Pelodiscus sinensis: one gene and its partners. The protein of the gene in region 2 interacts with the protein of the main gene of each other region in a biochemical or structural test. Links are inferred from orthologs where the notes say so. Each region holds a gene or a part of one and is shown on either strand. Other genes may lie near its edges.

Region 1 (8,013 bases), on a different chromosome or scaffold from region 2:
TTGACCAAAAAACACTCCCCCTTTCTATAGTACTGTACTTTACTAATTGGTTTATTTCACAGACACCCCTCCCCAAAGTTCTTTCCCTATGACGGGAAAGACCCAGATCTCCCTTCTTACTGTTTTCAGTAGAGAGACCTATAGGTATCCTTTCTTCCCTGGCTTCTTCTAGTCCTTCTACCACAACCTGTTCCTTTCTTAGCAGAGATACCTATCTACACCTCCTTCCAGGTCTTATGCTTAAAGGAGAGACTCCCCTAGAAACTTGAGCTCCAACCCAGTCTCCTCTACATCTACACTAAGGAAAAGAGAGATGGTTGTGTACAACCTCCTTTCCTAGCATACCATGAAGCCTACAATGCCCATTCTGAGAACTACATCTCCCAGAATGCCTGTCTTCCGGGCTGGAACAAAAAACAGAACACAGCTGCTCTTGGAGCTCTCTTTAAAGGGTCAGCACACTCTGTTACAACAGTAATACTGGGGGAAATGATCTAGTCTGTCAGTTAGAGTACTGCAGCATATGATTAGACTGATTTATTTATTTCCCGTATTAATGGCTATGCAGGAAAAAGAGCAGGCTTTCTGAGGGCGTGACTAGCACAGAAGAGATTGTCAGCCTTATTGCATTCAGAGCCTCATACAAAGGCAAACTGAAAAAGATTTCCTTAGATCCAGGTTACTGTTTGGAGACAGTAAGAATAAAGATAAAGAGTACAGCCTTCAAAGTTAATTGAACTGTATATTTTAGCAGCTGCATGTTTCTTTAATCATGAAAATATAAACAATTATATTTTCAGGAAGTCTTGATTTTTTACATCATCATCAGAAGTAGACCTGCTAAACCTGTTTAACTGGAAAGAATTGTATCCAGTTGCTGAGGTTTTACTATTGACCACTGTATTCCTACAAACTGAAACATCTCAGAAAATAAGGGAAATTAAAGGAAATTAAAAACCTTGTCCAAGTTCTGTCTGCATGTGTAATGTTGTGTGGCTTAAATATCCTCCTTGGTTAATATGAAAAATTCTTATCAAAAGTAATCCTTTGCTGAGGATGCTGCCATCCATCATCAGGACTTCAGCTTCACTATGAGAAAACACATTTTTACCATTGACAAAATATTCACAAGTAGTCACTCATTTTGGCTATCTTAGTTGTTGGGTGGCCAGTCTGAGACATCTTAGACCTGATTTTCAGACTGGCTGAGCACTCAAGAACTCCTGCTGAAATCAGAAGAAGCCCTCTGAAAGTCAGATGAGTGGAATAAGTCATCCACATTTATCTAGTTTATTGAAATAAATATTAGCTTAAACAATTAAATGACAACTTCCCTTGTTCTTTTATTTTTTCACAAGCCTCTTGCTAGTGAAGACAAATCTCAACTGCTTACTATTTAAATGGAACAGCCATAGGACACAGCAGTGCCAATGCTACAGGAGAAGCATGGTCAAGAAGCAGCTAGATGGATGAGCCACCCCAGCGAAAGTTGACATGCATATGACATTGAGCGGAGTTTGAATATGGAAAAAAAAGAATTACTTAGCAGCGAAGATAAGAAAAACTCTCAGTAAAATTCTACAAACTCAGAGCTTGTAGAAATTTGTTAAATCTACTTGGCACCAGTTAGAACAGTGGTTTTCAAAGTATAGTCTCTGGACCACTAATGGTCCTTGACTGTCTTGCAGGTGGGCCTGGAGCTCACGTCCCCCTCTCCCTTTCTCCACCCCTGCAGCAGAGAACCTGTGCTGATGCTCTAGCCCCGCCCTGCATGGTGAAACACCAGCACTGGCTTCCTGCTGAGGGGAAGCCCGGATCACCTCAGGCTGGATCCAGCTTATGGGGGCAGGAAGTGACTCTGTGCACTGCTACTCCCCCTCCCCCTAGCTGGGGGAATGGCAGTGCAGGAAACCACTCACCTGGAGGCTTTCCCCACAGCTTCCATTGGCCAGAATCCTGGTCAATGGGAATAGAGTAGGTCGGGGCCTGGGAGTGGCAGGAGGAGCAGAGCCAGCTACCTGTCCCCACATCCCCCTAACATACTCCCTTCCTATTGAGACCCCCTCCAGCCTACTCCTGCACCCATTTTGTCATCATGGGTGGTTGGCTGGTGGTTGGCAGAAAGGTATGCATTGAGGAGGGTGGGCCTCAGGCCAAAAAGTTTGAGAACTACTGATCTAGAGCAAAGTTGTAAAAGACCTCGGCCTCACTCCTCTACCTATGATACCTCCTTGCCTCTAACAGGAACAGAAACACAAATATAAATTACCGGGAGGAATAACTAGATTATTTTCATTTTGTATTGCTCATTTTTTGAGGAAGAATGGCTCCTGAGCAAGAGGAGGGTTTTGCACAAAAAGGACTGTCTACACTGCTCTTTTTTGCGCAAAAGCCTCTTGTGCAAAAATGGCTGCTCATTAATTATGCAAATGAAGCACAGTGAGATTCCATGCAGAGCTTCATTTGCATAAGCTTTTCTGCAAGAAGGCTACAGTGTGGACGTAGCCTAAGTGTGCCAGGAGTCCTATGCGAGGAGAGCCCTGTGGTGGGTTATTTGAGGCTGGTGGGATAGAGGGTCAGTCTGTTAGCCAAGTGCCAGTAAGCAAAGCTGAAAACACCATTTTTATTCTATAGGCCAGCTGTTGAATCCAGAGTTCTTCTATATCAGTGTTTTTCAACCTTTTTTTTATAAGTACCCCTTTTAAAAAAATAAGTACCCCCAGTACCTACAGTTTTCATACACACATTTTTTTTCTACCATTGCAACACATTTGTTTAAACAACTTACTTGTAGCCAGACGGGCGATGAAATTTTTGGATGTAAAAAGTACAAAACTAATAAAGCACTGTAAAACTTAGTTGGCCCCCACCAAACCCACCGCATGCAACTATCCTGCAGTTGCATTAACCCAATGTGTGTGACATTAACCCAGGGGCAGAGATCTGGGGGAAGTGTTCCCTCTGAGGCTATGTCTACACTTGCAGCTTCTTGTGCAAGTACAGCCATTCTTGTGCAAGAACCCACAGAGCATTCACACTGCCCGCCTGCTCTTGTGCAAGGAAATTTACAGTACGGCGTGGTAAGAGAGGGCATCTTGCGCAAGAGCTACGCTCTTTTCTAACAGGTGTAAGCTCTCTTGCGCAAGAGGGCAGTGTGGATGCTCGGCAGGGATTTCTTGTGCAAAAAACCCCTATGGCTAAAATGGCCATCAGCGCTTTCTTGCGCAAGAGAGCGACCACACTGCCATAGATATGTTTGTGCAAAAGCACAGCTTGCACATGGCAGTGTGGATGTGTTCTTGCGCAAGACTTCTTGCACAAGAACTCTTGCTCAAGATGTTCTTGTGCAAGAAACTGCCAGTGTAGACATAGCCTAAGAGTTTCTTCCCATGAGGAAAATGAATTTTGTGTTGTGCACCAGTACTGAGTTCATGTGGCGTGTTTGGTTGTGCCATTATGGCACCCAAGTTATTAATAAAATATCTACCTTTCCACTCTGCTGCCATGTCTCCTCCCCTTGCTCCATCAGCTCCCCTGGTGCCTGCTGCCCCCCCCCTCCCAGCTCCTCACCCTCCTCTGCTGTCCTGACTCCTGCCGTTCTCACTGCCCTCAGCCCTCCTCCAACCTGCCCCCCTCCACCAGCCCTTCTCTCTTCCCTGTGCCCACTCCTCCAGTAGCCCCACTCTGACCTTGTGAGCTCCCCCTCCTCATCCCCTCTTCTAACACCTCACTCTACAAACCTGTTCTGCCTCTCTCCTCTGGTGCTGGTCCCTCCCCTGAAGGTGTCTGCCCTTCTGCTTCACCCTAGAATCCCCTGGCACCTGCACCTTCCCTTACTCCTGTACCCTCCTGGTGCCTCCCCCTTCCCTCACTGCCCCTGCCCCGTTTGCCTTCTTTTCCCCTGATGCCCACGTTCCCCTCACCACCCTCTCCCCCCCCCCCCCGTTCCCCTCATGCCCCTGTGCCCTCACACATGACTTGCTCCATCCCGGCCTTCCTCATGCCCACCCCTTCTTTCAAGCCTTATCCCAGCACCTCCCACTCCAGCCCCCAATGTCTTTACCCTCTCCCCTCCCAGCATCACCCTGTCCCCCCTCCCACTGACACCTCCCCTCCTGCCTTTTTCCTCATTGTCTGCACTTGGCCCCCCTGGCTTTTGTCTTTCCTCTACCCTGTCCCTTTAGTGCCTTCCCCTTTCTTCCCCCTCTCCCCTCCCCCTCCGCACAAGCCCCTTCCTCTCCCAGCCCTCCCCCTCCCTCGTCACGCCCGGGCGTCTCCCCGCTCACTGGTTTGAGCACTCTGCGCATGGCAGCAGTAGCCGGGAAGGGGGAGCTCAGTGAAGGTTGCGTATGGCAGGGACGGGAGGGGGCCAGGGACAAGGGAGAGACACTCTGGGGGGGGGGGGAGGGGGGAGCGCCGGGGTCAACTCCAGCTCCAAATATTGGTGGAGCATGGTCACCATGATCCCATGCAACTCGCTGCCCATGGCTAAGGGTACTGGTACCACTGGTTGAAAAACACTGTTCTATATGACACTGCGCATCATTCATCAGGGGATATTTTCAGAGGTGCATAAGGGAGTTAGGGGTCCAGCAAAATCTCACCACATCTATTTAGTTCTCGTGCACTTTTATTTTTCATAGTGCCTAAAGTTCCCACATACCTATGGGCCATTATGGATACTGCATATTCGCCATGAATTTGCCATATGGAATTTACACGGGTTGTATAGATGCAAAAGTTGTAATTTGTATGTAAGCTCTAGACACCTAGGTGCACGTTTTATTCACACACACACACGGCGTGTGGACTCGAGTTCTCCGCACGCACCCAGAGCCGTGCGAGACGGCAGGGCACGAAACAAATCCCCGGCTCCCTACACCCTTCTCGTGCAACCGCGCCTTGAGAAACCAAAAGCCGCTCTGCTCTTAAAAGTTTCCAACTCTTCTTTCAAGGGCCCGCCCGCACCGCTCTGCCCCAGGACACAGTGGGAGCTGTGTGGCTCCGCCCCAGCCTGGCAAGCCTCCCTGGAGTGTGGAGTCAGGCAGCGCTGGGTACCCCCCTCCAATGCACCGACAGCTCTCAAGACACCTGCTCACACACGCAGACCTACCCTGGGCACAGGTAACCCCCAACTCTTTGGCTAGGGGCGAGGGCACACGGTACGCCTGAGTAATTGAGCTAAACTACTTGGGATTCTGTCTGGCACCAAGTTTCTTCTGCAGCCTCTCCTGGGAATTTATTTCAGCTTCTCTTGAGCCCTCGCTAGATTTTTTTTGCAAACTTTTGACGTGTCTTCCCAATGCTGCTTTCTGCCTCATGGAGTTAAACCTGACTTATCAGCCAGGCAGCTTCCAGACTATCCTTTTATGTGATGGCAGATTGCTCGTGGATAAGTAATTTGTAAAAGAAATAATCTCGTTTACTTAAAACGTATTGTAGCTTCATTGCTACTTTCATAATGCTTTTTCTGCTATTCCCACGCTGTACGAGGCTGTGGTTTGGTTACCGTCTAAATCTAATTTGATCAGCATAATTTAAAGAACCAGGAAATACCAGTCCTAATGTTGGAACTTTGCATATATAATATAACTGTATAGGGCTGCCCCCCTCCCTGCCAAATTGAATTGTTCTTCACCAAACATCAAAAACCAAGTCATTATGGCACTGCTCCCCTTTCCATGTGCCATCTATGTTTCCTTCTCCAAAACCACATTGAAAAAATATTTGGCTTGCAGCACTAAACAGTAAGAGAAAAGGAAGTTAAGTAGAAAAATATTATGCAAAATAGATTGCAACTATTGCAATGTTTAAATTAATATGAAGTGGTTGTATGTGCTGTAATGCCTTTGAACAGTTTGGTACACAATTGGGGCAATGGTTTACTGGCTTCATCTTTAAACAGGACGTTGTACTTGCAACCATTTGCAATTTGGTCTTATCATTAGTTCAGAACTACTTGGGTGTGATCTGCAAAGATGATGAGTGTTGGGAGATCTTGTCCAAACTGTTTGTTTTTTCTGCTAAAGATGACAAACTGTTTTTTTCTTGAGAGAGAGAGAGAGAGAGAGAGCGCATTCAGTGGGTATTTGACTTCATAGCCCTTTGAACCCCTCTGCTAACCACCAGAGCAATTTGACCAGGATCTGGTTCCCTTCTTGTATAATCCAAGTAAACAGTGTTAGCACTGCAGACGTTGTAGTGAGCGCATTCTTGATTATTTAATATTTTGTTAGTAGTAGCTGGAATTACAAAGTCAGGAGAAGTTAAATTTCTTTTAATCCTAATAAAAGTAGTTCATGCTGGCCAGGCATGGTGGGAGTATAGGGAGACTTTGCCTCAAATAACCTTACCTATTAGCAGGTGCTGATTCTGCTGTGAAAATTTCAAGTAGGTTTGGCTGGTTTACTGATCCACCTGGTTTATTATCCCACCAGTAAGTAGGAGAGGTGGAATCCACTCTCAAGCACAGAGAGAGTCTTTGGGGACGAAAGAACCTAACATCAACTACGCCTAAATTCTTTGTCAACGGTGGTGCAACATGTCCAACAGCTTGCAGGATTAAGACCTTTAAGACTGAAATGCAATATTTTGCTCTTGGATATGCTCTTGTTACTCCCACTGAGCCAAATGTTGCTCTCAATTACCCCTGTGCAACCTCATCAAGTGAATTCCATGAGTCTTGCATACACATATCTTTGTCCAAGAGTAGAATTGTACCTTACACAGGTTACGATTTATCCGATTCAGTCCTCTCTGGAGGAGAGTAACTACAACTTGACTTCTGTATCCAAAATACCTTTGTATGCTTCTCTGACACTAATATTTTATAAATAAAGAAACTTCTTGGGCCTTTTCATTTTTACGGTTTGTTTGTGTGTTGTGTTGTTGGGTTCGCCATTTCAGTTTTGAGTTTCCAGTTAGAAAGAAGTGATCTATTAAATATGAGAAGGAATTGCAACTAATGGATCGAATAATAAAATACACACAAGTTGCTTTGCAACAATACTTAAGGAATTTAGGAAACAGGACACTTTGCTTTATTAGAAATTGTTCTCGCATGTAGATACAGTATTCTTGTGAATCTGATTTCATTGTATAGCTGTTTACATGTATGCCTTAATTTGTACACATCTTGAGTCAGCTACTTCCTGAAATGCACACCATATAGTTCCTCTTTACCAGTAAAGAGTGATACACTTTCAGGGAAAACCTTTTAAAAAAAAATCTTGTCATATAATAGAATGATGGATAGAGCTCTACATGGATACAAACTTGGTATCCACATCCGTAAAAATGATGTGCAGGTATCTGCAAATTTGCAGTGTTCTAGATATAAAATTTGTATCCGTATTCAGAAAAATCAGCTGCGGATATCTGCATTGACATCTGTGGATATAAAGCAGATAGCCATGGATTTTCAGGGGTCTAACGACTGAGCGTTACGGAAGCTAACAAAGAAGTTTGCTATTTGGCTGTATGGATGCAGTGATTTTAGATTTTTTTTTCATGTCCCCTTGATTTGTTCTTAAGAGATTTAAATCTTACCGCAGTGCAAGTGTGCCCCATCAGTGGGAATTGCACTTACAGGCATGGAGTTCTGTAGTCATAATGCAGGTAAAGTTCCTGTTGACTTTCAGTGGGAGTTTTGCTTGCAGAGGGGCTTCAGTCTGAGACGCATGTATGCTAGCTGAACTGGACTTTATGGGAGTTTGTACAGCAGCATACAACTAGAGTGAATCCCATGCCCCCTCTTTGGACAAAATCTGCTTCCCTTTCTGGGGAATGCTCCTTTTCAAAGTGCTAATATTATATAAGGAGAGCTTAGTAGAATCTTGCAGGTGGCAAGTTAAGCATTTGAGCTTATACCAATACATTTGAGTTTATACCAAGGGCTGAAGCCCTTGAATTTCTGGCTTGGGCTTCCCCATCTGGAGCATCAGGACTCAGGTGGCTCAGGTTTTTGTCCCCCACACATGGGGTCGTGTAGTAGTTTTTGTTGTGAGAAGGGGG
Region 2 (7,794 bases):
GTAATGGGAAAATACACTGTAGTTGCTTTTTTTAGATGTGATCCAATTCCCACTAACATCAATTAAAAGGCTTCCACCGACTTCAATGGGATTTCCATTAACTTCAGTAGGAGAGTTCCCTTCTTTCTGTGCAGCAGAAAGTGAAGGCGGATGATTACCAGTCAAGAAGGGTAAGGGATAACAAAAGGAGAATAGGCACAGCATATTATGCTGACTCTCAGCTCTGCTTTACTGGTAGTAGCCCTCTCACTGCAACAGTGCAAATGTGGGGCTTCATGGGATTTCAGGGTGACTGATTGGAAGGAGATAATAAAGTTGGGGAGCAGTCACTCTCAGAAGGATTAACACCTGATTTACAACTTCTCCCAGTTTCATACCAGGAGGTAGTGTGTAGCTGCAGACCAGAGAACCAAGAATAGCACAGTGCAGAATCAGCCACAGTTCCAGGTGAGAAGATCTTGGATTTAGTGATAGAGACACAGTGCCAAATGAGGACAAACACAGTGGTGCATTGCATTTCATTAAACTTAGCACAGAGGAAGGGTGGTACCCATCCTGACCCCATATCGTTACCTCCCAGACATTTTAAGTGGTTCTAGTTCAGGGGTTCCAGGATTCCTACCATCTAACTTGGGGTAGTTCTATTCAGCCTACCACTAAACTCACTATTCTGAGTCCTATTCCCCCCCCCCCCCCACCACCACCACCACACACACTACTCCAGGGGGATAGAGTGTACTAAAAAGAGGGACCTCTGTTGGTAAAGACCACAATATCTTCCTCTGTCTCCTGAGGCCATTAGTGAAATCCCAGGACTTTTACTTCATTTCAGCCACACTAGAAACCAGCCACAAGCCACAATGAACTAACATCCTAACCAAATACTATCATTAATGATTAAATCCTATTTCTATTAAACTGCACCTAGAGGATTTGGCAAGGAAAATTAAAGCTTCTTAGGCCTTTGCCAATTTGACCCCATTGGGGAAAAAATTCTCTGTCCCCAAAATAGGTGATTGGTAACCCACAGCATCTGTAAAACAGGTCCGAGTTCTATCAGTCCAGGTCAAGGAGGGTAGAGCTGCAGATCCAGAGCCAGAAGAGGATTTAGATGGCCTTGGCTTTGTTTTAAATTAATGAAAAAGGAGGGCAAGAGATCAAACAGTTCCCTTCCTCCCCAAGCTAGTGAGTGAGTGGCTAGAGTCTTTGACTGGGCAGGATGCCCTGCATCCCCTCATCTTGTAGTCTTCTCTCTTGTTCAACAGGGATTGTCCCAAATGAAGCCAGTGGTCCAAAATCAGTAGGCCTGCTGCCTGGAACAGGATCTCTGCTGATCCTTAGGTTCTGTACCTGTACAAGATTATACACCTAATCCTTCCATGCTAAACTAACATCCTTACCGAGTACTATCATTATGATTAAATCCTAAGAAGCAGCTAATGTATTAATTTCTCCCCCGAGTGAAACATGTAGAATGTTTTGCATCTGTTTTTCTCTTCCACCAGAGATTTGGTGATATCAAATTTCTCTGACTTAGTTTTGCTGGGTCAAAGAGAGGTCAGTTTGTGTGGATGAACGTGCTCATAGGATTGAGCATTTTATTGAAATGATTTAATTGGAACATTCTCATATTGTGATATTGTGCTATGAATTTTCTAAAGGTCTGTGTGAGATGCAAAAATTAGCTCATCATAAACAGAGAAGCCAAAGAAGCAAAATCCCAAGGAGAAATTGACCAAACACTGGCTAAATGCCTAGGACTTGACATTTTTGAGAAAAGTGAGCACAGAGAGCAGCATTAAATCACTATACAATTTTCAACAACACTACAGCTGGTCAAAATACTTTTATTTGTTGTTGTTGAAAATCTCCCTTCATTATTTTTTCAGAAATCACCATCCTCTGCATCCTTTGTTAAGGCAATATTGAAATTATTTTAACCAGCTCTAATTACCAGCAATATCCTGTGACTAGACTACTGAAGTGTTACAGTTTGATAAGCCAAACACATAGACCAGGTACTCATTTTTAATAATATAACAGTGTTTATGTAATGGGACTAAATTGTGCTGTACTTCATTTTGAAGCGTATTTCTGAACATGATATGGTTATTAAGGCATTAACAAGGAGCTCTCCTCAGATACTGCTTAACATTGAAATGGGGTCTCCTATTATCTCTGTATTTCACTTGGCCACTTTGAGTACGTCTAGACTACAAGCCTCTTTCAAAGAGAGCATCTAGACTACAAGCAGATTTTTTGAAAAAGCGAGCCACCTTTTCAAAAGAGTCTAGATGCTCTCTTTCAAAAAAGCACAGTTTGCAGTCCATAGTGCCTTTTTTCGAAAGGGTACTTTCGAAAAAAGGCATTATTCCTCATAAAATGAGGTTTACCGTGATTGAAAAAACTGCCGTGTTCTTTCGATTTACTTTCGAAAGAACGTGGCTACAGTCTAGACACAGGTGAAGTTTTTTCGAAAAAAGGCTACTTTTTTTTTGAAAAAACCCTGTAGTCTAGACACACTCTTTAAATCATTCTGCTCTGGTTGGACACTAACCACAAAACATAGAATCATCTCAACTTCTGACTAACTCTTTCCTTCTTACCTTGTCACTGCTCTTAAATTCATTCTTTTTAATACCTTTCCCCTGATCTGCCTTCCCCGTGAGGAAAGCTCTGGTTATTCTTGCCCTCAGTGAAAATAGTATTTTATTTTTAAATTAGTCACGTGTTTCAACCTATTCCTCCCAGTTGCTAATCTCACCCCCACTCCAGGCCTCAAAATGAGCTCCACACACACTTACGTTCTCAAACTCTAATGGCAATTTAATGAAAGATGTCACAGGTTTTGGTTTTTAAAATGGTGGCCTTCTTAGATATGATCCTTCTTTTCTAAACAGAAGTGTCTAGACAGATCATGGTAGTCTCGATTAACTCTCTGGACTGACAAGTCTGTTCTGATCATAGTAGGATTTCTGGCTGACCATTGGAGTCAGGCAGGTTCCTTTAAAAAAAACAAACACCCGCATCAGTACTCACGCTAATAGAAATTGAATTTAACTTTGAATATGAAAAATACAAAGAAATCAAGAGAGTTACTAATATTCACTGTGACTGCCAGCATCTTAGACATGTACACAGTTAAGAAAGTAATCCAGGAATGGAAACAGAAGATTGCTGACACTATGAATCCTACTGATCAAATTGGTTGATGTCTCTCACTATCTACGATATATTTGAGAGAGTTTATGTGTTGTCTGTCTGTTCAAGAACTACTCCTAAACAGTAAGAATAGTTCCACTAAATTTGATACACACCATCCTTTTAACATAATGTAAAGCAAGGAAAGGATTTGGTTGGGCCAGGAAAATGGGATGTGCCTGAATGGGATTGCTTCTCATGAAATCATACAGAAAAGAGACAGAATCACCAAGCAGGTGAAGGGAGTTGGCTGGGTCCCCCCCTCTCCCCCACACACATTCATGATTTCCCCTACCCTGAACCTCCTACTGCCCAGGTGCCCTTTAAGAAGATGGGGCGGGGGCTGAAACTTCCTCCCACCTCCCCTGCTAATGTACAGAGACATTCCTGGCTGTTCCCCATTATCAGGAAGTGATGGGAAAGTGCAGTTTGCTGCATTCTTCACTCTGGTTAGGGGACAGAGGAACCCAGACCTGGCCTAGCCAGGAGACATGCACCCCTCCCCCAGCTGTGCCTGTTGGTGTTACAGTAGAAGAGGCATTTCTCATCTGGTCCCAAGCTGCTGTGAGAGAGCGCTAGGGTAGTCCTCTTTTGCAAGGTGCAGCCTGAATATTGAACTACTCATCCCCAGCCCTCCCCAGTCCACAAATTGCAGAGAGCAAGTTTGACAGTCCATTTGCAGAGTTAGGAAGGCAGTATGAAGGCTGTCCCTACCAATATGTAAAATACGCAGCCACGTAGGGCACCACAAAATTTGGGGCACCCAAATTCTGTGGTGCCTTAGGTAGCTGGGTGCTGTATATGGGGCAGTACTGAAGTCCGGCAGTCAGCCCCATTCTTTGGCTAGTCCCCGCTGAGGGCTGGACCCTAGGGGTTATGGGGACTGGGACACTCCTCTCCGTTTCACCCCCATCCTGCTCACACTTCACCCCTTCCCATAAATCCCCACCCCTACACCACTCCCCTCTCTGTCTCTTCATGAGTGCTGTGACTGGGAGCCAGGGGAGCAGAATGGGCTGGAGAAGGGCTGCTCCCCTTCTCTCTACTCCAGTGAGTGTGGGGGGCAAATCCAATCCCTGCTCCCGCCTTGCCCTGCCTCTTGAAGCTCTGGGCCTCCCCCCCACAGTTCCTGCCCCCACGCCAGTGAACACAGTACCCCCCTCAGAGGGGCCAACCGCTTTGCATAGTGACCCCCCCTATGGGGGAGGGGTGCACTGAGCACCAAAATTTGCAGGGAGGGGCCTGACTGGCGCATCTTTGCAAGAATGTATTAAAAGACTGGAAGAGTTGGGTGAAAAAGGAGAGAAAGGGAACGTGCTTCCCTCCACCCCACAGTGCAGCTAAATGGGGGGGGGGGGAATGCGAACACAAGCCACGCCCCCATTTAACGGCCACGCCCCCTTCCCCGCCCACACCAGACCCGCTCTCTTCTTCACAGCAGCTCCCAACCTCCACGCACAATTAGCCCCTCCCCTTTCGTTTCGAGCCCGGCACCTCCCATAGCCCCGCCCCCCTCCCCCGTTCCACCCTATTAGAGAGGCCGCGGGCCCCCCGCCTTCCATCAGAGCGCCGCAGCCCCTCCTTTCCCGGAAGCTGCTGTCCGGCTGGCCCCGCCCTTCCCCGGAAGCAGGTTCCGCCCGGGCCCGGCCCCCGGAAGCAGCCCTGTGTGGCGGCTGCTGCTGGCCTCGGCCCCTGCGCGGAGCCAGAGTCTCTCGGGAGCTGGGCGGACGCTTCCCCCGCCCGCTTGAGCCCAGCGCGGAGCCGCCTCGGAGCGCGGCGGCGGGAGGCGGATTCGGGCAGGTGAGTCCGGGCGGCGCTTTGCTGGGCGGTGTTGACCCCGCCCGGGTGCTGGGGGGGCCACGGGCTGCCCCCCCCCCCCTGGTTCTACCCCGCTCTGTGCTGCCCCCGGCTCCCCACACGCGCCAGAGCGCAGGTCCCGGGTGACTTCTCCGCGCTCCGCCCGGCTCGCCGCGGCGGCTCGTCCCGGTCCCAGCCCGCCTGTGGCCGCGGCCGGGGCTCGACGCCTCCCGCAAGGCGGGACCTGGGATCTTCGTTCCCTGAAGGTTAACAGCCTCTCCCCGCCGGCGCCCTGCCCGGGTGACTTCCCGACCGGTGCCGCTGCCCGGCGCTGGGGCTGCCTGTCGGGAAGGCTCATTCATTCCCTTCAGGGGGCCGCTCCCTCCTGCTTCTCCTTTGCCGTCCGGAGCTGGGCGCTTCCTTGCCGGCCTGGGCGTGAATGTGCTGCTGGGCCGCCCGCTGCGGGAGTGGGTGAGACCTCGTCCCTGAAACTCTGATCGTGTTAATTTGGGGGGCCCCAGTGAGCTCGGATGAGGTTGGAAACGAGGCGCCTGAAATCGTGGCTGTTGGCTGTAACGCTAGTCTAGATTTATTAACTCGTCTTTAAAATGGCTTTCGGCCAAGCTTGTCTTTGTACATCAGCCACCTAGGTTACTCAAGTTTTATTGTTCTAGTGTTTAAACAGCGGGCCACACCTCGATTCTAACAGTGGAGAGTACCTATCTTATCCATGGCAGGAATTGTTTTGTTCCAAGTGTACTTCAGATATGCTGTTAATTTGTCTGATCTCTTGTCTTAGTCAGTGACTGAGATCTCTGACATGGAATTCTAGTGTCAAGATCACCAATTTAAACTGCATTCAAGAGCTATATACTGTAAACTTCATTTCCAGTGATACTTTTGTGTGGTGGTGCATGTTATGTTTGCAGTTTTCATTTTGTTTATGTTCTGCATTACTAAAACTACAGGAAGGAATAATGTGCATTAATGAGGCTTTTAAATTCATAAAACTTTACATTTCTTTTTGCTTGATTAGGCTGTTAATCACTTGTATCTATATAATATGTATTTAAGAACCAACTTGCATAACTTCACCCAACATTCTGAATTTTTGTCTATTTGTTTATCCAGAAATGTATCCTATTTACTGGCACATGTTTAGTGATCATATGTGCACAATGTTGAGGGTTCTGTACATTAACACTGAGCACTGACTCTCTTACTGTAATCTGATTTGAATACTGTGATCACCAACGTATGCATTTCTTTTACAAGAGATGTGTGTGTGTAGTATCACTGAAATATAGTGGTGGAAATTCATGGCTTCTGAGTTTAAAAACTACCTCAGAATTCCTCTTTAACTTCAGGAAAATGATCACAGCTGGAGATGCCCTCACTAGAGAATTGGAGAGGCTGTGTCTTACTCAGCAGTCCTTTATAGTGCTCGACATCAGTTGAAATGCTCACATCTGGCTCTGTAAGAACATCTCAATCTAACAGCCAAACATTCTGTTAATATTTCTAGCTCTGTTTCCACAGCAACACTACATCTAAGATGTTAAATTAGGCTGTGTGGGGTTAATCTGGATGGACCTCTTCCCATTTCAACCTTGAGCAGTGAGTTGCTTAACTTAGGAGGAAGAGGGTAGCTGAACAAATGCAGATGCTAGTTTGTTTAGCAATGGCTATGATTAGACTAGTAGCTATAAAAAAAGGTAGATTTCTCCCCCCTTCATCTCATTCTCTTAAGAGGTACTGCAACAAGTTACATGGCTTCTGCAAAAAGTCTTAGTTACAATAGCATGAGGAAATAAAGTGACTCCTAAAATTCCAGAAGGAAGTGCCTAAGTGTAGATTTACTTCCATATTTCATTCTGGTGACCTTGCCTTTTTAAAGGTATCAATTTCCACTATTCAGAATACTTCAGAATTGTGCATTAGTGTTGGCCTGTTATACCCCATTTTTATAGGAATAAATTACTCCCTACTGCTCCTTCTCCCCAAAATACCTTGCAAACAAAGCCAATGGTAGAGTGAAATAACTGGATCATCTGAGCTTGCATTCATAGCTTGTTTTGCTTAATGGAGGAGGATAGATGCTGTTTCAGGGTGCACCAATGCATATCTGAAGAACTGGATGTTTTAACAAGCATGATAATACCCTAGTTAACCTGTCTCTCTAATGAGAGAATCAAAGCTGTTGCTTTGCTTTTTCTTTCTCAAGTGATAACAAATTACTTAGTTGATGAAACTGCTAGAAACTTGACCTCTACAATCAACTGGCAATCTCATGGTATCACTATTCATAAACTCTGCTGGAACAAGGGAAGGAACTCTTCATGGGAACATAAGTACGAGCAGACCCTTCACAACATGGGGGGGGGGAGGAGGGAAAGAAGCAAATTAGTGGAAAGGCAAAATTGGAGCAACTGTTAGACTGAGATGGGTACAGTCCAAATTTCACTTTTGTGTTCATGTTCACTATCATGAAAACTGGTTCTTAACTTAAGTGTTCTGCTTAATGTACTGCACTATAGTATTCATGAGTTTATTCTTAAAACTATGAAAATGTGCCCTCTTACCAAAATAACTGAAATGGAATGTTCCCCTTGTCTTAAATACTTAAATACGTAAAATCATTGGTGCAAATAGCTGTTAAACTGAGGCACAGAAAACTAAAACTGAGGATTAGCATGTTATGCTGTTCTACATGCTAAAAATCACTTAAGGACCTCTTGGGAACTGGAAACTTTATTTCTCATCAGCCTCAGAATTCTAACTGGACTAAAGCCTATG
Region 3 (7,029 bases), about 51 Mb from region 2:
TTAATGTAAAAATGACCTGCAAAGGAGAATATATATTTCGTGTGGTTTGATTTATTTTAGATTCAAGGGAAACTAGGACACTCCAAAGAGACTTAACCACTTCCTCATTTATTGCAAGTCTTCAAGCTGTTAATATAGTCCTTTGTTTTACAAGCCTCAAAAAACAATTACTATACAATTTAAGCCTTAAATACTACAAATTTGTAAAGCAATTAATACAATACAAAACAATACAAAAGCAATTAATAGGAGATTTATTATAATGCAATAATTAAGCCTTGTTCACTTACACTTCATTCACATGCCACCTGCAGGAGGTTCATTGTCCCTTTTACTGCCACACTTAGGGACGCTGTGCACTGCCACAGCTAGTGTGAATGGTCTTTTACTTTTAGTTACAATAAGAAGGACTTGTGGGTCAATCCTGCTTACTACCTCCCATCAATTCTTCTTGCTAAGCCCATTTTATAGCAAAGCAAGACTTGGTCATTCTAATAATATCTACTAATTGATTACATATTGTGTAAGATACCTATTGTGCCTTTATTAGGGGTACATCCTACTACTCAAGATGTTGCAAAAAGTATGTGCTTGGTTAACAGTTCTATGACTGTATCTGCTTTTTCTTATTAGGAATAAAATGTATCAGTACTAGATTAATCCAGTTCTCTTGGCATTATCACACTGAACTATGCTGGAAATGCATGATTGTGCAAAAACATTCCTGCTTCAAAGCCCCAGCCTTACCTGCATGCTACGTGCACCAGACTTGAGACAGGCTTGGGTTTTGCTTTGTTAGAGATCTTTACTTTGAGTAAAGCAGACGCTGTCTTGGTCAAGACAGGGCTGTTTAGGCTCCCCTACACTATACCATACAAAACTCCTGAACCTATGCACTTTTTCACTTCTTTAGGATATATGGAAAATGCCTGAAGATTTTTTTCTTTGTACTTTTAACGGTAAAAATTCAGATCCTGTCTAAATGTGAGTGGACAACTAATTCAACGTTGACCTCATAAAAGCTAAGAGACAGAAAGCTGAAGTATTAAAAAGGGGAAGGATTTTTAGCCAGATTGTTTAAAGCTGTTCTTTTCCTCTTTTAACAGCTATATAATTTAAGTGGGTTACAGTTGGGCTAAAAGGAAGGTTTTGTTAAATATTCAGTAACCTTGGTCCTTCTTTTAAGATGTGAAAATATTCATTCACTAGAGACCGCTCCCAGTAGAAGCCCAGCATTGACTCTTATGAGGTCTTGCCTGCACATACTGGTTTGATTAAAGATACATCATAAATCTACTTACTTAAACTGGTACAAATCTCTGTGTGGACACTTAAATTCATTTTAATCTGGTTCATATTAATTTAACTTATACAGTCAGATTTACTATATAAACCAGGTTTTAAAATCAATTTAAGGGCTTGTCTACATGAGAGAGTTGCAGTGGTTTAACTATTGGTGTGATTTTTTTAAACCAATTTAATTAAATGATTACAGATACTTATATTTTGTTTAGATAAAAATTAATTAAAAGTTTAAACTAAACCACATGATGCCACTCTTAAACCAAACTAAGAGTGTCCACAGCAAAGTTTATACCAGTTTAATGACAGTGGTATAAAAACTGATTTAAATTAAGTTATTGTAACTTTCCCATGTTGACATCGCACTTCCCTACGGAGGCTTGCAATAGCCCATCAGCAATAGTTCATCGGCATGACCTGTCAGCATTTTCATCAACATTCCCACACACCCAGGAGGCAGAGCATGCAGCAAATTGTTGAAACATGGTACCAAATGCGGACGGAAGTGCCAGGGTTGTTGAGATGTGAAGTGATGCACTAAGGCCGTGTTTCTCAAACTGTGCGTCCTGACCTCCCTGGGGGGGGGGTCGTGAGCAACTTAGAGAGGGGTCACGGTATCACAAAGTTTGAGAACATCTGCACTAGGGGCCACTGGGATTAGGGATGTTAGTGGTTAATTGTTTAACCGATAAGCTATTGCTTATTGGTTAACAGTCCCAGTTAACCACAATAACACCCCCCCCCCTCATGCTCTGCATTTAAAACTTGGACTGGCAGGCTGGCTCAATCAGCCTATCAGTCTGAGTTGTAAATGAAGAGCAGGCAGGGGAGCTGTATCAGAGGCAGCAGTGCAGTGTGGTAGGGGCTCCCTGGGTCTGGGAGCGCACTTGGCTGCTGCCTCCATCCTCAGGAGCCATTGCATAATCCTGCAACTGATGTGGTTATGTGATCATTAAATTAAATAATATCTAACATCCGTAGCTGGGACAGGGCTCAGGGTGTCCTGTGCCTCCCAACACCTCTGAAGGGGAAGAGGTGCTCTGGGAGATAGCTGCCCAGAATGCAGTGTGCTGCAAGTGCCATGAGTGTTGCCAGGCTAATGAACTGGCAGCTAACACTGTGGCCACCCAACTGTGGTTTCATTGCTGCACTTTGCAAGCAGCGCTGCAGTTGCCAGCATTTTCCATCTGCCAGGGTAGCCATGGCCTCAAAGGGTGTGTCTAGACTACAGAGTTTTGTTGACAAAAGTGGACTTTTGTCGACGAAACTATACCTGCGTCTCCACTGCTGCTGAGTTCTGTCGACATAACGTCGACAGAACTCTGCAGTTTTGTCAACGGCTGTAAACCTCGTTCTACGAGGAATAACGTCTTTTGTCAACAGAGTTCTGTTGACAGAAGGTATTATTGCATCTACACCGTCATGTCGACAAAGCAGCTTGCTTTGTTGACAGAACTGGATGTAGTCAAGACACTCTTTGTCGACAGAAGCTTTGTCAACAGTATGGGTATGTCTACATTACATGGCTCCGTCAACAGAGCCATGTAGATTACCTATGTAGACATAGGAAAATGAAGCGGCAATTTAAATAATCATCGCTTCATTTAAATTAAAATTGCTGCCGCACTGTGCCAATCAGCTGTTTGTCGGCACAGCTCTGTAGTCTGGACACTCCACGGTCGACATCAAAAGCATTTGTCGACCTCCCCGGTAAACCTCATCCCGCCAGGCATTATTTAAATCGCCACTTCATTTTCCTATGTCTAGAAAGGTAATCTACATGGCTACATCCACATTGGCATGATCTTGTGCAAATACTCTTTAACGCAAGAGTTCTTGCATTAAAGTATTTGCGCAAGAGAGCGTCTACATTGGCATGTGCCTTTGTGCGAGAGATGGCTTTTGCGCAAGAGCATCCATGCCAGTGTAGACGCTCTCTTGCGCAAGAAAGCTCCGATGGCCATTTTAGCTATCGGGCTTTCTTGCGTAAGAAATTCATGCTGCCTGTCTACACTAGCCTCTTGTGCAAGAACAGTTGCGCAAGAGGGCTTATTCCTGAGCGGGAGCATCATAGTTCTTGCACAAGAAGCTCTGATTTCACACATTAGAACGTCAGTGTTCTTGCGCAAGAACTCCTGGCCAGTGTAGACAGGCAGCAAGTTTTTGCGCAAAAACAGCCACTTTGGCGCTAGATCACCCCAATGTGTAGACAGCTGTAGTGTAGACCTATCCTCTCTGTCCACAAAAACCTCTGTTGACAAAAGCCTGTAGTCTAGACCTACCCAAAGTCTTTCTACAACACTTTCCATTAGCCCCGCACCCTACGGGCTGAAGAACGGGACTAAGATGTTTACAAAGTCCAACCACCAGCAAAAACCACCCTCCTGGCTCGCTCAGGGCAGAAGCCCGACTGGAAGCAGAAAACGACTCGTTTGCAGGTTGCAGGCCCTGGGAGCGCTTGGCAGGAGCGGCAAGTCTGTCCCCGGGCGGGCTTCCTCCGCACCTCCTCGGTGCTTTCCTTTCTTTACGAGCTCAACCGGCTCCCTGCCCCGTGCGCGGCGCCAAACCCAGCAGCCCGCCGTGGCCTCGCGCTGCGGCTGAGGGCGAAGGGACCGAACGCGCAGGCACTGGGCGGCCCGGGCTGGAGGCAGCGAGGAAGGAGCTCAGGGGCGGGGCCGGGAGAAGGAAGGCGCGGCCCAAGCGGGAGGGGCGGGGCTGCCGCTCGATTGCTCCGGTTCCGCCTCCCGGGCGATCGATGCGTCCGGACTCCATTGCGGCGGCCTGGCTGTGCGGGAGGCGGAGGCGCTACCTGGAGCGACGCTGCCCAGTGCCGGTTTCAAACAGCGCAGCGGCCGGTGAGTGCTCCCCCCCCCTCCCATCCCGGACACACGCACGTTAGCGCGAGCCGGCTCCTAGTCACTGGCCTCGGGCCGCACCCCCGCCGCGCGCCTCCTGCCCCGGGGTCTCGCTGCCGCCGTTGCTAATAACGATCCGGATCGGGCCGTTGGGATCCGCCCGGTACGCTGCCCCCGCCGGGCGCTGGATGTGCGCGGCAGAGGCCAAGCGCTGCCCCCGCCCCCCAGCCGCACACTGCGGAGGCCCCGCTTGTCTCCGCGCTGGGCCCCGCCGAGCTGCCGCCAGCCACTTCCGTGCCGCGGGGCAGCGCCGGTGGCAGCGGCTCGGCGCCAGCACTGCCCGTGGGGCCGGTGCGGAGGGGCGGTGGATGCTTGAGCCCTGGCTTGGAAACACTGCGCGTGTCTCTGCTGCTGTGGCTGGCCCGTGCGAGCTGAACTGTGCTAGGCTGGCTCTGGACGAGGCGCTCAGTGTTGTAGTTGCTTGGGCTGAAGTCTGAGACCCTCCCAGCTTGCCAGGCCTTACAGCCCAAGCTGTCACGCTAAAGTCCTCTAGAGTGGACCAAATGTCCGTGCTGCAATAGAACAGCTCCTTGGCCTGAGCTCCAGGAGCCTCAGTCAGCTGGCAGGGGCCACCACAGAAGTCTAATTGCAGTGTAGACATACCCACTAAGTCCACAAGCCCCAGGTCTCTCAGATCTGAATTCATAAAGCACTGTACACATACCCATATAGTTGGTCACATAATCACCGATATTTTATGGACTTGGTCACTTAGTCATGTAGAAAGTACCTGCAGCTGAGGCTTCAACCATGCTGTCGTTTTGGGGTGCTTTAAACAGGATCCTGTTCATCTGCTTGTTATCAAATCTGGAAGACCCATATAAAAACATGTGTTTTTCATTTGAATGGAAGCTCTTATTTAAATTATGTCTGTGGCACTGCAGTTATATTCCTCAATGAGGGATAAAATCACTGATAATACAAAGACTTTACAATTTAAAGGCACCATAAATATAGTAAATGGGCCAGTAGTGGTGGCAGTTGCTCTTCATTATAAGGTACAGTAGAAAAGTAACATACTACTTCCAGACTTCATGCAGTGGCATGGGAGCCTGAAAACTTTGAGGGCCCTAGCTTTGAGTCTGCATCAGGGAGCTTGGATGCACTAATAAATTGTAGATCTTGCATGAGTTAGGCTCCCTGGCTAGCTGGATGCCTGGCCATCTGACGACTTATGCTGGGGGAGCTGGGCAGCTCAGCTGGTCCAAGAGTTTGGAAGCCTTGAGGCCCCTGGAGCAGGCTGCATCCAGGCCAGGACCTCCAGCAGCTCCTGATGCAATTCGTGTCAGTTTCATTGCTGTGCCCACCATTGAACAGCAGTGGTGAGAAACAATGTGTAATAGATAAAAATAGTGGTAGCCCTATATATTGAACAAGTGTGTTAATTAGATTAGGGTATAGAGAAATTAAATAGTGATTTGGTGAGCTTATATTCTACTAGTTAAGCAGGAATGTACTTTTTCTTTCTTTAGACGGTTGTGCCCACGAAAACTCATGAAACCATCTACAGTACATGTTTTGTTAGTCTTTAAGTGCTACTAGACTACTTGTAGTTTTTTCTTTCTTCATTACTAATCTTTATTAAAATCCTGTGAAGCTTATAATGTGGTGTCAATTTATGTAAAACAACCTGGATAATAATTTATCCTGAATCTCTGTTTCTGGCAAAAACAGGCATGTAATGCAAAAAGATTGCTACTGCTCAGAGCTACAGTCTCTGAAAGGCTAGCATGTATAAGTATTTTGGCAGTTTTCTTTAAATGTATCTTGTCACAGAATGAGTGACTTAACTTCTGTGCTGCTGCTTCCCTGGCTGTTATATAATAATGATAATGACTGCCTTGAAAAGCACGTTGAGATCTGTTGATAAAAAGTTCTGGGTAAAAGCTAGTTATTATTGTACCAGCCTTTATCCAGGTGCTTGCACTAAAATGTTGGTTTGATCCAATGAACTGGTTTATAGATGAGGAGGTTAGGAAGACTTTTTCTTGAGAATCCCTCTGCTCTTAGGGAAAGGTGAGTTTTTTCTTCCTATAGAAAAGGCTATAGTGCCCACCTTCGATGTAGTTAGTGGATCCCTAGCTATATCTGTTTGGTGGTCCAGAGCTTCAGGCCTTAGCTGACCCACCTCTAAATATACTAGTGGATATGGAAAGAAATCATGTTCATCCACCACTAGTCTGGCCTCTGATCCATCCACACGCTTCCTCTTCATTCTGACCTACTTACTTACTCATCACATACAGTGCACCTGTGGTTTATGGATAGCCTTCCATAGTGTAAACAAAATGGGGGAGAAGAAATGTCTCGTGAGGGTTCCCTGTACATGTGGGAGATGGTCTAGGCCAGAGATTTTAATATCATATGAAGTAAGTGTGATTAAAAGAAAAAAAACCAACCAAACAAACAAATCCTCATGGATAATAGTGCATGTGCATAGTGGTAACTTTTCACATTCCATCCTCCTAACATCAGTGTAGCCAAAGGCACTAGTCTGTGTTTACGTGTACAAAGTATCAGTTGCAAAAATAAAACAGATTTCAAATTAAAGTATAAAAGCAAACTGAAAATTAATCTGGTTGTTTACATTCCTATATCTCAAAACCAGCGGCAAGTCCCCCCACCCTAATTTGATGGAGGAAAACCCACCTGTCTTTTGGGTTCTCTTGCCAAAATTCAGTCTTGGGCACATTTTTTAATCCTAGATTACAAATTCCTGAAATTAGAGGTTTATAATGAAAAGGCTCAGTTTACCTTTAGAATCTTAACCACATCCTAGACTGCATGCATATTAGTTATATGCTTAAAACAA

What was found.
Region 1: the proteins of RALA (region 2) and PLD1 form a complex in vitro, tested with the Homo sapiens proteins (2 studies listed by BioGRID). The link is inferred for Pelodiscus sinensis from reciprocal best matches to the Homo sapiens genes RALA and PLD1.
Region 3: the proteins of RALA (region 2) and EXOC2 are reported together in a solved structure, tested with the Homo sapiens proteins (2 studies listed by BioGRID, with this or other methods). The link is inferred for Pelodiscus sinensis from reciprocal best matches to the Homo sapiens genes RALA and EXOC2.

Annotation. Positions count from the first base shown.
Region 1 is NC_134720.1:39,813,290-39,821,302, reverse strand, and holds the start of PLD1 (phospholipase D1), read left to right. Parts: upstream 1-4,984; 5' UTR 4,985-5,124; intron 5,125-8,013. UniProt on the Homo sapiens protein: Function as phospholipase selective for phosphatidylcholine. Implicated as a critical step in numerous cellular pathways, including signal transduction, membrane trafficking, and the regulation of mitosis.
Region 2 is NC_134712.1:166,935,267-166,943,060, reverse strand, and holds the start of RALA (ras-related protein Ral-A), read left to right. Parts: upstream 1-4,772; 5' UTR 4,773-5,001; intron 5,002-7,794. UniProt on the Homo sapiens protein: Multifunctional GTPase involved in a variety of cellular processes including gene expression, cell migration, cell proliferation, oncogenic transformation and membrane trafficking.
Region 3 is NC_134712.1:115,925,913-115,932,941, reverse strand, and holds the start of EXOC2 (exocyst complex component 2), read left to right. Parts: upstream 1-4,000; 5' UTR 4,001-4,157; intron 4,158-7,029. UniProt on the Homo sapiens protein: Component of the exocyst complex involved in the docking of exocytic vesicles with fusion sites on the plasma membrane.